Callithrix jacchus: one gene and its partners. The protein of the gene in region 1 purifies or fractionates together with the protein of each later gene. This does not show direct contact. Links are inferred from orthologs where the notes say so. Each region holds a gene or a part of one and is shown in the gene's direction. Other genes may lie near its edges.

The links.
Region 2: the proteins of PTPN14 (region 1) and PDLIM7 purify together in Homo sapiens (affinity purification with mass spectrometry; 3 studies listed by BioGRID and IntAct, counting the BioPlex papers as one, with this or other methods). This does not show direct contact. The link is inferred for Callithrix jacchus from reciprocal best matches to the Homo sapiens genes PTPN14 and PDLIM7.
Region 3: the proteins of PTPN14 (region 1) and STXBP4 purify together in Homo sapiens (affinity purification with mass spectrometry; 3 studies listed by BioGRID and IntAct, counting the BioPlex papers as one, with this or other methods). This does not show direct contact. The link is inferred for Callithrix jacchus from reciprocal best matches to the Homo sapiens genes PTPN14 and STXBP4.
Region 4: the proteins of PTPN14 (region 1) and WWC1 purify together in Homo sapiens (affinity purification with mass spectrometry; 7 studies listed by BioGRID and IntAct, counting the BioPlex papers as one, with this or other methods). This does not show direct contact. The link is inferred for Callithrix jacchus from reciprocal best matches to the Homo sapiens genes PTPN14 and WWC1.

What each region holds. Positions count from the first base shown.
Region 1 is NC_133520.1:14,776,675-14,780,174, forward strand, and holds part of PTPN14 (tyrosine-protein phosphatase non-receptor type 14), read left to right. Parts: intron 1-1,307; coding exon 1,308-1,386; intron 1,387-3,344; coding exon 3,345-3,500. UniProt on the Homo sapiens protein: Protein tyrosine phosphatase which may play a role in the regulation of lymphangiogenesis, cell-cell adhesion, cell-matrix adhesion, cell migration, cell growth and also regulates TGF-beta gene expression, thereby modulating epithelial-mesenchymal transition.
Region 2 is NC_133503.1:68,644,111-68,647,610, forward strand, and holds part of PDLIM7 (PDZ and LIM domain protein 7), read left to right. Parts: intron 1-1,222; coding exon 1,223-1,374; intron 1,375-1,461; coding exon 1,462-1,492; intron 1,493-1,941; coding exon 1,942-2,060; intron 2,061-2,458; coding exon 2,459-2,479; intron 2,480-2,725; coding exon 2,726-2,862; intron 2,863-2,938; coding exon of another isoform or gene 2,939-2,964; coding exon 2,965-3,001; intron 3,002-3,268; coding exon of another isoform or gene 3,269-3,365; exon of another isoform or gene 3,366-3,500. UniProt on the Homo sapiens protein: May function as a scaffold on which the coordinated assembly of proteins can occur. May play a role as an adapter that, via its PDZ domain, localizes LIM-binding proteins to actin filaments of both skeletal muscle and nonmuscle tissues.
Region 3 is NC_133506.1:111,208,097-111,211,596, reverse strand, and holds part of STXBP4 (syntaxin-binding protein 4), read left to right. Parts: coding exon 1-140; intron 141-1,205; coding exon 1,206-1,284; intron 1,285-3,500. UniProt on the Homo sapiens protein: Plays a role in the translocation of transport vesicles from the cytoplasm to the plasma membrane. Inhibits the translocation of SLC2A4 from intracellular vesicles to the plasma membrane by STX4A binding and preventing the interaction between STX4A and VAMP2.
Region 4 is NC_133503.1:31,339,770-31,343,132, forward strand, and holds part of WWC1 (protein KIBRA), read left to right. Parts: intron 1-924; coding exon 925-1,176; intron 1,177-3,363. UniProt on the Homo sapiens protein: Regulator of the Hippo signaling pathway, also known as the Salvador-Warts-Hippo (SWH) pathway.

The sequences.
Region 1 (3,500 bases):
AAGAAATGAAAAGGAAAAAGAAATATAAGAGATTATCGTTTTTTGTGGCTTATAAACTTAAGTGTTTTGAGGGTTATTTTTTCCCGCAGATCAAAATTCTTATTTTAAACAAATTCTTATCCGGAACCTTGATATGTAAATAAAATGGATAATGCTTGAGGTAGGGGGAGAGAGGAGCTTGATTTGACTGATAGGAAACTGAGATGGGCTGAGGTTAAATGACTTGCTCTATATTATATTAGTGCATAACTGCCTCTCTTTTGTTGGCTCACCAAATATTTAATCCACTGAAGTATTTTTTATTCCTCTAAAAGCTTGTTCCTCTTCCACAGCATGAAGTTATTCAGGTTCAGTCTAAATAGCCATTTTTAAGAGACTGCAGAAAAGATTCTGCACTGCGGTAGGGGGAAGACAGGGCCCTTTCCATACTTGGTTCTGCAGTGGGGGAGGTCAGCAAGTGGTCTTGAGAGCTACACACTCACTGTTGTGGGCCACATTTTAGATATTTAAGTAGATTCATTTTAGATATTTAAGTAGATTCATCCCGGGCTCGGCTTAACACTAACCCTGTTCCTATTTAAGGTTGATGTGGTCTCAGGCATAGCTATGCTGATGTGTAGGAGCTTATGAATGGAATTTTGAAAAGAATGAAACAGGTGTTCCCTTATTGTCATCTCTGAGATGGATTATAATAATTCACTCTTTTTTTTGGAGACAGTTTCTCTCTGTCTCCCAGGCTGGAGTGCAGTGGCGTGATCTTGGCTCACTGCAACCTCTGCCTCCCGGGCTCAGTGACTCTCACACCTCAGCCTCCCAAGTAGCTGGGACAACAGGTGCATGCTAGTACACCTGGCTAATTTTTTTTGTATTTTAGTAGAGATGGGGTTTCACCATATTGCCCCATATTGCCCAGGTTGTTCTTGAACTCCCAAGCTCAGTCAATCCTCCCACCTTGAATAATTTACCTTTTCTAAGTTATTCTTGTGAGAGAAGGCACAGAGAACTTTGCAAGTGTATTAGAACATAGATAATAAATTGTTACATTCAATCTTTGATGGTAACTTCTTTCTCTCTCTGATCTTGAACCAACTTCATTTCTCCCTTACCGTTTCTCCAGTCCCAGTCTTAGTGATAAGATGAGAGCGCAGACGGGTAGAAGAAGGTTGGGTCAAAGGGGTGACAGGGACAGCGGCTGCCACGAGCCTCCCTGACGACATGGTGGGACTGCTGTGTGCCCGGGCCGGGTGTGTGAGTCATTGGCCGGGTCTGGCCAGGCCTCCCCACCTCCTCTGTGTTCTCTGTTTCAGCCCAGGCAGCAGCCGTACATCCTGCCTCCCGTTCACGTGCAGTGTGGTGAGCACTACTCGGAAACACACACCTCACAAGGTAACGCTGGCTTGCCATTCTCCATTCTTAAGACAAAAAATTGAATACCAATAAGTGGTAAAGAAGACTTTTAAAAAAAAAGAAGACAGGGATGCTTTCTTTTTAACTTCGTCATTGTCTGAATGATAGTATCTGACAGCTTCAATTTGCAGAAGGCTTAAACTATCAGTTACCTCTGATCAAAAAATTTCCCCGGTATTGGCTGCTCTGGGGGTCGGGGTCAAGGCAGCGAGCAAGTTCTTTCTTCTCCCTTTCCTAAGTGAGCTTAGAGAAGAGACCGTGATAGCTCAGCCCAAGTGAATGCACTTCACCTTCATTGCCAGTATCAGAAAGCTCCTGGCAGTCACTCTGCTTTTCATGGTGACATAGAACACGGACGTGCAGAATAATTGGAAGAAATACACTAAGTCAGCCTTTTCTCTTAGCTGTTTTTCTCATCTCTTTCCCCAGCCCCTTTCTTGGTACACTTGCTTTTTTCTTTTCAGAGTAAAGTAAAGCTGTTCTATTCCTCTCTTTCTCACAAAATTTCTCCCATGCAAAATGTGTGAAAAAGCTTCTTCTACTAGTAATGATTTCATGGTAACAACTAACATTCATAGAGCAATTATGGTATTGCTCTAAGTACTTGGTATATATCTTTTCACGTGATCCTTAAAACAAACCTATAGGTACTATTATTATTTCTATTTTCCAGATATACAAATTGGGGTACAGACAGATTAATGATGGAACTTAGATATGAAAACTGGTACTTGTAATCATTATGCGAACTGCATTTGAAAAAAAGGAGATGGTAGAAAATCTTGGATGTTGGAAATACAGTAAATGGTTAATTCATTCTCTGTTATCAACTCCTGGCCATTTTGAATCCTCTGCTGTATAAAAGTGTGAGCATGAAAACCAAGGCAATCAAGACTATTTAATTTAATAAAATAGTACTTTTTACAAGGAGACTAGCAAAGTTACCACATTTCTCTGGGAAGGCCCCAAACCCCATGGGAGGTGGCTAACTTGCCCCCACATTTGTCTCTGCGTTCCCCTTGTCTGTCCTGCCTGTCTCATCTGATCAGATCTCTGTCCATGCTCCCTCTCTTCAGTTGACTATTTTCAGTCACCGTTTCTGTTTTTCACCTTCTCTGAGTTTGCCTTTCTCTGTTTTGCTCATGCTTAAATCTGTAGTGTGAAAATGAATATATCTTGGCTATAGAAAGGCAAGAGATTGCCTTCCTCGGGGCGTGTGTGTGTAAGAGAACACCGGACACCTAGAATGGGCCTGATTTTAGGAATCTGCTTTTTATTGCCTTAGGTATCTCTTTAAACTATAATTTTTACTTGAATTGACCTAAGTGATGAAATAGTTCTAGAGGGGATATTAGGAGTTGCTGAAAAGAACTCGTGATTCTAATTTTGCCCTCTGTTGCTGCTCAGGACCAGCTAGCTGTGCTGACACCCTGGCTACATCATTTGTTTTGTGTCTTTAGAATGCCCAGCAGTCACCTGGGTAAAGGCGCCTTTTCCATTGCCATCAGGAAGAGCAGCTCTAAGTCCTTAGTAACTGAAATTTATTAAAGTTCTTGAATTCCTTGTCTAAATATTCAGTCCTGTTGCTGAGTCCTGAGCAAGAGGACAGGTCTCCCCAATTGGAGGGCCATTGTTGGTGCCTGATTTCAAAGCTCACGGCAGAACTGAGAACTTTCCCAAGCAACACTTACTTCAAATGTGTGCACGCCTTTGATTAGGTTTGCTTTTTCCTTTCAGTATGCTTTAAGGTGTTCTTTCTGTATGTTGGCATTTCATCCAAGATAGTATTTGTTATTCTGTAGAATATGTTGGTGGAGACCATGGGATTTCATTTTTTATGACTTATTTAAATGAAAAGTCACCTCATAAGTGTAGGATGTGCATTGCTGTGGCAGAATGGCGTGGAGGTTCACGTGCCTTTGCTTGACTTCTTGTAGACAGCATTTTTCATGGGAATGAAGAAGCCCTGTATTGCAACTCTCACAACAGCCTGGACTTAAATTATTTAAATGGCACCGTCACCAATGGCAGCGTGTGTAGTGTTCACAGTGTCAACTCCCTCAACTGCTCGCAAAGTTTCATCCAGGCCTCCC
Region 2 (3,500 bases), on another chromosome or scaffold:
GCTCCTGTGCACCCCAAGACCCCCACCTCGGACTCAGCCCACACCTCCCAGGAGCCAGCCCTTGTGGGCAGGTAGTGGCTGGGCCAGGTTTCCCTTGTACTGACTCACCATGGCCTTGAGTAAGTCATTTCCCCTCTGGGGTGTCACTTCCCCACGCACAGTTTAAAGGGTTGATTTAGTTGGCTTGAATTAAATGTGAGGGGGAAGCTCAGGGCGTCTCGAGGTGGGCTGACCCCTCAGTTGGGCCCCCATGCTCAGCAAAGGTGGCCTGCAGTGGTGGAGTCTTAGGGTCAGGGTCACTTCCTGGCCCTGCCTCTTGCTGGGTGACTTGAGTCAAGTTGTTTAACCTCTCTGTGTACACTTTCAAGTGCAAAATGGGTAAAATCTCAGATTACTCCACAGGGTTGTTGGAAGATGCAGCAATGTGTAGCATACTTGGTGCTCAGTAAACTGAAGGAGGTGTTCTTATTTAGCGAGTGAGGAAGGGGCCACCGAGCTCTCTTAGCTTCCCTGAAGTCATTCCTGATGGTCTTAGTTCATGCTGGTGGCAGCCATTTCTCGCAGCCTATTGTCACCCCTTGTTGCCACTGGAACCAGGGACTCCCAGCTCAGAGCCTGAAGGATTGGAGTCAGGGGAGTTGGCAGTTGAAGGCTTGGGAGTGACACTCATGTATGGCCTATGAAGCCCCAGCTGTCACCTTAGGCCCCATTCAGGCAGTGTTCATGGGGAACCTGGAGATAACAGGGCCTGTTCCTGGCTCTCAAAGTGTCCCAGCGGACCCCTGCAGATGGCCCCCAGATAGGGTGCTGGAGGGTAAGAGATCCATAAGAGCCCCCAGCGGTAGCAGGGAAGAAGCTGCCCCTTGCATGGGCCAGAGGGCATATCTGGTAGTATAGCAGCCCTGGGCAGGCAGCCAGCAGGTGCTTCAAAAGGCAGGTGGTCCTCCTGAAACACATGGGCCTGAGCATGGCTGTTTGTGGGTATCATAGAATTTCTGGACTGTGGGGTAGGGTCGTGGTGCAGAGTAAATAAATCAGCAGTGTGATGGGAAATTGTGAAGCTCAGGTGAGCGCCACCACCTCCTGGTTGCTTTAGTGTCCAGCAGCTGCCTAGAACTATGTTGAATGAAGAGCTCTCTGGCCTCTAGAAGTGGGGCAGCATTACCACCTGGCTTGGGTCTGCAGAGTCTAAGGACCTCGGTCACTGTGCTTTTCTCTGTAGCTCACTCCTGGAGGCAAAGCAGCACAGGCTGGAGTGGCCGTTGGTGACTGGGTGCTGAGCATCGATGGCGAGAATGCAGGGAGCCTCACACACATCGAAGCTCAGAACAAGATCCGGGCCTGTGGGGAACGCCTCAGCCTGGGCCTCAGCAGGTATGCGCGTTGGTGTGGATGGGTGCACAGTCGCTAGCAATGGGGATTCTCATGGGCCCACGCTGTCACACTTTCCTTTTCCTTCAGGGCCCAACCGGTTCAGAGCAAACCCCAGAAGGTACGAGGCGGGCCGGGACATCTGGGCAGCGGGCGGGTTGGGCTTGGACAGCCAGACCTGCTCGCCCTCCTGGCACAGCCTCGGTACCCCAATCCCTGGTCAGAAGTAGAGGGCAGAAACTGGAGCTAGGGTGGGTCTAGGGCCCTGGAGTTGAGCCAGGGGCTGCCGCACGGTCTGGGCACCACGCATGTTTGCCTGTCTGTCCGCCTGCCTGCCTCCCGCCGCCGGTGCTGCGTGTTCGCCCGCACTTGGTCAGCCCTCGGTCCTGCGTGGACTGAAATCACCACTCCTGAATGGGCCCCTTGAAACCTGAGTTGTCGTCTCCCCCTAGTCTCCTGCAAGATGTGGGGGGTGTGGGGGGCTGGAGCTGCCACTGTCTTCTGGTGCGGGCGCCCCACTCCCACCCAAGTCCCTGCCCGCCTGCCCTGCCCGGCTCTGTCTCTGCTCAGGCCCCGGCCCCTGCCGCGGACCCCCCGCGGTACACCTTTGCACCCAGCGTCTCCCTCAACAAGACGGCCCGGCCCTTCGGGGCGCCCCCGCCCGCTGACAACGCCCCGCAGCAGAATGGGTATGTCAGCCCCGGCCCGCCCGTGCCCGTGCCCATGCCATCAGGCCCCTTGTGGCCCCACGCCCTTTGCCCGCTGCCCGCTGCTGCTCAGTCTGTGCTGTGCCCCAGCCCGGCGGAACCGTGCGGCAGCAACCCCTGGCGGCCGGGGTGGGACTGCAGGCACAGGGCCCCTCCCAAGGCTGTGGCACCCTGCAGGGCACTGCCCTGGGGAGGGGTCTCTGAATGAGGTCGCACCCCCTGCTGGCGGCTTGGGGTTGGGTCATGGTGTTGGGCCAGTTGAGCCCTAGACACTCAGTGCTGCCTGGTCCCCGGCTGCCCTGACCCCTCCCCATCTTTCTTCCTCTCCTGTGTCTGTCCCTTTGTCCCTTTATCTCTCTATCTGTCTATTTCCTTCACAGGTGCAGACCCCTGACAAGTCAGTGAGCCCCCTCTGCCTGTCCCTCTCTTCTTCCTTTTGGCACTCTGGGCGGTGGCCCCTCCCCACCCTGGCTGCCCTCCTCTCCACTTTGCCCTCCTGTCCTCTCATCCACCCGCCTAGCAGGGCTTCTGGCCTTGCCCTTACCCACTCCCTCCCATCACTGTAACCCACATGCACCAAATCCTGGGAGGGGCTGCCCCCACTGCCCACCCCCAGCATGGGGTTCTGAGCCGCACCCTCCCCACAGACAGCCGCTCCGACCGCTGGTCCCAGATGCCAGCAAGCAGCGGCTGATGGAGAACACCGAGGACTGGCGGCCACGGCCTGGGACAGGCCAGTCGCGTTCCTTCCGCATCCTTGCCCACCTCACAGGCACCGAGTTCAGTAAGTGCCAGCCTAGGCAGGGTGGACTCTCCTGGCCTCCAGCCCAGGCGTGAACCCTGACCTTCTGTCTCTCTTGGTCAATGCCTGTCTCTGCCCTCTCAGTGCAAGACCCGGATGAGGAGCACCTGAAGAAATCAAGGTACAAGAATGGGCACTAGCCCTTCTCCCACCTCCTGCCTCTTCCATTCCAGCTACTGCCCTATGTCTACTCCTGAGGCTCCCAGCTGGGGCTTTCCATTCTCCTTCCTTCCTTCGCTCCCTCCTCCTCCTCTTCCTTCTTTCCTTCCTTCTTTCCTCCCTTCCCTTGCTCCTTCCTTCCCTCATTCCTTCCTACCCTCCTCCCTCCCTATGTCCCTTCCATCTCTCCTTCCTTCCACTTCTTCCTCCTTCTCTCTCTGCCCCTCAGGGAAAAGTATGTCCTGGAGCTGCAGAGCCCACGCTACACCCGCCTCCGAGACTGGCACCACCAGCGCTCTGCCCACGCGCTCAACGTGCAGTCGTAGCCCGGCCCTCTCCAGCCGGCTGCCCTCTCTGCCTCCCTCTTTCTGTTCCTCCTGCCCAGGGCACCCCCTTAGTGTCTCCAGCTTCTGCCTACCTCACCCCCGCTTCCTGCCCCTGGCCTGAGTCTCCTGCTGGCC
Region 3 (3,500 bases), on another chromosome or scaffold:
GTACATCACTTGTAGAAGCTTCAGGAGAATATATACCTCAAGCCTCAGCATTTAGTCTTTTTTCTTCTCCTCCTGAAACACTAATTCCAAAGACCTCATCCACTCCCAAAACTAACAATGCCATTTTACCTTCTTGTGAGGTAAGTCATGTAATCTTAAATTTCTCTGCATATATACTCCGTAAATCCCCCATATATTTTTACATTGGTTAAGTACATATAGAATTGTTATTTCAGTAAAATTGTTAACAAATTAATACTTCTTTGAAATATTTTTTCTTCTTTACTATTTAAGATGTTTATGCTGTATATTCAGCACACATATTTTAAGTCAGCATGTCCTGTGTCCAGAAGCATGATTTGTTAGACAATACTAGCATGACAAAATGGTTCCACAAAGATTTGCCTAGATATCACTCAAAACTATGTGAACAATATCATATTTAATTTCAGTTGGTTTAGTTATTTGCCATTTCTGTTCTCTGCTTGACTAAAGTCAGGCTATCTTATTTGTTCTTCCTTAGCTTCTTTCCCACATAGTGAGGCTAATCCCAGGCATCCACTCTAGAAGGATATTGCTCCTTCATGTGTGTAGGCTATAGTTCCCCCAAATAGAATCACACAAAATGGGGAATTTCTATATCAGAATTAATACACTCAATTACTAACAGCTATATTGTCCTAAAAAATTACAGTTATAAAGTGTATATTATTTATATCTGTGTTAGCTGTAAAATAGGAAATTCAGGCTTTTAGTCAGTAGAATAAAATGTGTCAATGGTAACTTCAGTTTCAGGTACATGCTGAACAGAGACAGAGTGTAAGATTTTCAGTCAGCCCCTTATACTTTGTCATGTGGAGCTATAATACTTTGAAAAGACAAGATGTGTGGCCTTATATTTTGTTATCCTTGGATATGGAAGAGCTGCAAGCAATTGTTACCTTTAATTCTGAATGGCTTTGTTCAAAGATGCATATACCAAATTTTATAGTTTCATAAAGTTTGATGCATATACCAAAATTTTATAGTTTCATAAAGTTGTTCGAAGATGCATATACCAAAATTTTATAGTTTCATAAAGTATAAATTTTATAGTTTGAGGGACTATTACCTTAATCTCTTTAACCATTCTTTTTATGTTAACACGGGCTTCAGGTGACCTACTTTAGTAAATGACATTGTGTGTTTCTCATTTTCTTTCACAGATAGAAACTGGATACAACAAAACAGAACAGATTCCAATTACTTCTTCAGAAAACAGTACTGTGGGTTTGTCTAATACAGGTAAATACACATTTAATTTCTCTTTCCTGTTATTTTTTTCAATTCTCTCTCAATGAGGAATATGTAATGTGACTTAATAAGACTTTGAAGAAGGTTGCATTATGTCTTTGTTCCTTCAATGAATGAAAAAGCAAAAATAATATATTTTTCATTGGTCCCTGTGAAAGTATGACTTTTACTGGAAATTTCCCTGAACATAGAGTTGAAATTTCAAAAGATGCATTGTCATAATAGCGTTTATGAAACTATAATAATTAATGAATTGTTTAAGTGAAATAATGAGAAGTCTTCTCTAAGATCAAGATTAGGTTGCCTTTGAGTGCAGTACTGATGAGGCATATTAAATACACCTTTCAGAAAACACATTAAAGAAGGGAGCATACCTTAAGAAATGTATCGTTTTTTTTGGAAGAAATCATATGGACGTAAATTAGAAAGAATGTCAGTATTGTGAATTCATTATTATGGATTCTTATTTACCATAAAACGATGTACTGACTTTTTAAAACAATAAAGCATTGATTATCTAAGCCAAACGTAAAATAAGGATTTTTATTAGGCTTGCAGGTTCAATATCAGGAAAAAGTCTCCCGAAATTATCTCTGAACGTGGAACACAACAATGAAAAAAAGATTAAAGATAACCGAAAAACTAATTACATATGCCTAATTATAATGCAAATTTTTACCTGTATATTTTAATTTTGTTTTAATAGCAGTATTGATATAAGAACTCAAAAATAAGGAAGCATTAATTTAAATTAAATAGCTAACAATCTTTACAGGAGTTTATACTATATTCCATAGTAGTTTACTCCAATTTGGGGTGGTATTTATCACTAGGTTAATATTCTTCAGCCATGAGTTATATTCCCTTTTACTTAGTGAAATTTATTGACCCTTGGAAACTTTATTAGCATTATTCCTCTTACATAATTAATTTCCAGTCTCTTGATATACTGTTTTTATTTTAAACTGGGAACCCATATGGGAAGAAAAAGATAGACAAATGAAACCAACAGTCATTAGATGAAGATCGAAGTTGCTAGATGATAGAAGTCAGAATCCTTTATTCCTTGATTATATTATAAAATATTAATACTTTATAACTTTTTTAATTTTTAAAGTAATTGAACTACTCAATGCCTCTTTTAACCATTTATTCAGTAAGGATTTACTATGTTATATGTGAAGAATACAGTACAACGGGAATTATGAGGGAATTAGGATTTTTCTGTGAGACACTTAAATAGTATATTGTGAAATAAAACATGGGGTTAAAAATTCCAGTTATTCAAATTAGAAAGCATCCAAATATATATGCATGTATTTGTTTATAGCTGTGTATGTGTGTTTATTTTATCAAGTAGCTACTATTTGTAGTTTTCTGTGTTAATTGGAGCAGGATCTGGGTGGTTTTGTTACTCTAAAAAGCATTCTTTCTTGTGAATGAATAACACATTTACACAAATTATGTAAAGACAGGAACAAATAGACCTAAGGAAAGAAGTAGTGAGTGATATGAATGAGTATGGTATAAGGAAGACACAGTGGTCGTTACCACCAGGCTCTGAAGTTCAAGTTCTTGCTTTTATCTTATTAGCTCTGTTACCTTGAATTAGTTACAAGTTACATGGAGTCGTTATGAGGATTAAACAAGATCATGCATGTCAAGCACTTACTTTGTAATTAGTGCATATATATGCTTACTAAATTTTTCTGTTACTAATAATATAGAACCTATAGCCTAGAGTATAGCTCAGATAATATTCTAGGTCATGTTTATAGAGCAAAAGGAAAAGCTTGAATTCATGATTCAGTTTTATGTCCTCCCCTTGATCCCAAAAACTAGTATATAATAAGGAATCTGTCAAAATATGTAAAAATTAATTAAGAAAAATTTCTTGGCAAAAGTCAGGCATTATCCAAATCTTGAAAGAAGTGGAAGGGGGAGGAGGGGGATGGGGAGGGCAAGGAGGAGGAGGCAAGAAGGAGGGAGAGCCACGAGAATAATAGGCCATACTTGGAAAAACTAACTTTCCCAGAGAGAAACAAAGATCTTAGGGCTGGGATAGAGAGATATCATTTGCAGATGAGGAAAACTGTCTATGAAGGGGCTTTCAGGTAAAGCTACTCTGAATTGACTAAGTGTGCTGGAGTTATACACAGACCCTCTTAAGATTTTAACTCAAAAGTAAAGGTGTAAGTTGTCTGGAA
Region 4 (3,363 bases), on another chromosome or scaffold:
GTGGGTGCCTGTAGTCCCAGCTACTCGGGAGGCTGAGGCAGGAAAATCGCTTGACCCCAAGAGGCAGAGGTTGCAGTGAGCTGAGATCATGCCACTACACTGCAGCCCTGGTGATGGTGAAACCACTTCATCAAAAAAAAAAAAAAAAAAAAAGTCATTGCCTCTTTTCCGAGTAGTTCAGCAAAGTGCCAGAATTGAGTATTAATGGGTGGGCTTTGATAACATACTCACCTCTGAACCCATCACTGAGATTCTGATTGGCCAGGCTCAGGTCACATTCCTATCCCTGATGCCCCACACAAACCAGGTGGACTGAGTGTGGAGGAAGAGAATTCCAAGGGAAGGTGAGGGCATTGTTACTGTAAGGCTGGGGAAACAGATGCTGGGCAAGCAGAAACAATAGGCGCGCATTACAGGAACATGAAGTCAAGACTTGACTTCTGCCCTCAAGCAGGAACAGACCTGTACTGGGGAAACAACTTCAGAAAAGTACAGTGACAGGAATCAATACCTGAAAACGTCCATGTGAAGGGCGCTGACAGTACTCAAGCTGGCACAGTGTAGAGAGAGGGCGGGTGGGGATTGCAGCCAGCTCCCTGGAGTGAAATCTCAGCCTTACCACACATACCCTGTGGGACTTAACCTCTGCAAGCCTCATCTGTGCAGATGATAAGCCTTGGAACCTCCTAGGTTTATGAAAATGAAACAAGGCAATAAAAATTAAGCACTTAGCACCATTCCTGGGACATAATAAATGCTCAGTAAACATGAGCTGAGTGGGAGAATTCCAAACAGGCTTCCCAGGGAAGGGCAAGCCCCATTCAGAAGGAGTGAAAGCCTACAGGTAAACAAAGGGAGGATATTTGAGGGTCAGAGGAAGGGGCTGGGTGGGCTCACAGGGCAGAGTTCTAATAACAAGAGAAGCCGTCCCCACCTCCGCAGCCTTCCTCCGTCAAGTCCCTGCGCTCCGAGCGTCTGATCCGCACCTCGCTGGACCTGGAGTTAGACCTGCAGGCAACGAGAACCTGGCACAGCCAACTGACCCAGGAGATCTCGGTGCTGAAGGAGCTTAAGGAGCAGCTGGAACAAGCCAAGAGCCATGGGGAGAAGGAGCTGCCGCAGTGGGTGCGCGAGGACGAGCGTTTCCGCCTGCTGCTGAGGATGCTGGAGAAGCGGGTGAGTGCAGCTCGAAGGCAGGGGAGCCCTGTGCTCTGTCCCAGGGAGTGGGGGGTACTATCCCAGGGAAGAGAGGCCAGAGCTCATGATGCATCCTACCATTCCCACCACAGGTTCCACTGAGGTTGTTCCACCCCTCCCTCATTCCCATCAGCAGAGGAATCCAGGAATCTCTTTGCCCGCTCAGCCTTATTAACCCTTCACCTGGCTGCAAGGCTCATTTACTGCATTTGTTGATGTGTTTTTGTGTGCTGGCCCATATTCACACATGTGCTCATCATGCAGTTCTTCATTGAAACACATGGGGCACCTAATCTGCCAAGGCACACACTTTAACAGAGTAACAATAGGACACGGACCTGCCTCAGTGCCTGCCCAGGCAGTCCCACAGGGCAGCCCTTGCCAAAGCAGGAGAGGGGCTGGTCACACCGGGCTTTCTGTTAACAAGGATGCCCTGGAGTACAAGCCTGCTGGCATCTCTGCCCTGCTATAGTGAGTTTAAGGGTTGATCAAGGAGAAAGATATAACCACAAAATGGTGTTAGCACACACACAAGTTTTATATTAGTTGTGTTTTTTGTTTTGTTTTGTTTTGTTTTGGAGACAGGTTCTTACTCTGTTGCCCAGGCTGGAATGTGGTGGCACAACAGCTCACTGCAACCTCCACCTGCCAGGCTCTATCGATCCTCCCACCTGAGCCTCCTGAGTAGCTGAGATGACAGGGGCATACCAATATACCTGGCTAATTTTTGTATTTTCTGTAGAGATGGGGTTTCACCTTGTTGCTCGGGCTGGTCTCGAACTCCTGGGCTCAAACAATCTACCCATCTTGGACTCCCAAAGTGCTGGGATTACAGGCTTGAGCCAGTGTGCCTGGCTTGCACTGCGCTTTGACAGGTTTGCATGCAGGAGAAGTCCCTCCCAGCATGAGACCTTCCAAAGGTGCTGGGGGCTACTACCCAGTGTGGAGGAAGGCAAGGGAACTCCCAGGGGAGAGCTGGGGGAGAGGGCCATCTAGGTGAGGTAGCTCTGCAGCACGATGGGGAGTCTCTGGGTCAGAGAACTCCAAAGCAATAGCAGCAGATTGGAGTCTCTTATAGGCCCAGGGCATATCTTATCTATGGCTAGCAAATGTTAGATACAGTTTCACAGGGTATGTAAAACACAAAGATTGTATATTTCTTTAAAAGCTGCTTATTTGAGCTAAAACAACTGGAAGGGTAAAAATTTGAGTTTGGCACCAGCAGGCTTTTGAGCCAACAGGTCCCAGACGACCATGAAGAAATAAACAATGCAGGGCCAATATACAATGGCCATTCTCTTTTTTTCTTTTCTTTTTTTTTTAAGACAGGGTTTCACCATGTTGGCCAGGCTGGTCTTGAACTCCTGACCTCAGGTGATCCGCCTGCCTCAGCCTCCCAAAGTGCTGAGATTACAGGCATGAGCCACCATGCCTGGCCAATTCTCTACTCTTTTATAAAAAATAATACCTGCCACTCTGTGATCACCACCCATGGCAAGAAAGACCTTTGATAGTTCTCTCTACAAACAGCCAGACTTGCTGAGAGCACCTTACACAGGGTGCCTTCCTGAACTGTCAGGAGGGCCATCAGCTGAAATCTCAGCACTCCGTACAGGTGGTGATGCCTTAGGGCAGGAAGATGCTGCTGGACTTCTTAGGCCTGGACTGATATGGCAGCTTCAAACTGACTCTGGCAGTTCTGAAGTTCCAGAAAAGTTTACTTCTTTCTTATGTATACCCTGTTTACTTACAAACAGCATTATAACAAGAGTATTGAGGGAAAATAGAAAATTGGAAGGCTTAAAGGAGGAGAAGGAAATAAATATATCCCAAACCTAAAGTAACCTGGTTAGAGTTAGGTATTATATTTATCTTTGAGCTTCCTGGTAGCCAAGGCAAAAAGAGATCAGAAAACAAGTGCCTATGTGCCCTACCTTAACACTTGATCTTAGTCAAAAGACTAAGAAGTAATACATGCCCTGACTTAAGAAAAACAAAGAAAACTTGACCTTCCAAATGGTTAAAAAAAAAAAAAATTAAAAAGTAACATCTATGCCTTCTAACAAAACACCATTGAAATGATGGCTCTATTTACAAAAGTTCTGTCTTTGTGCAATGTTTTCAAGTATATGGTGCATGGATATTTTAGAGTTTTCTGTGGTTTGT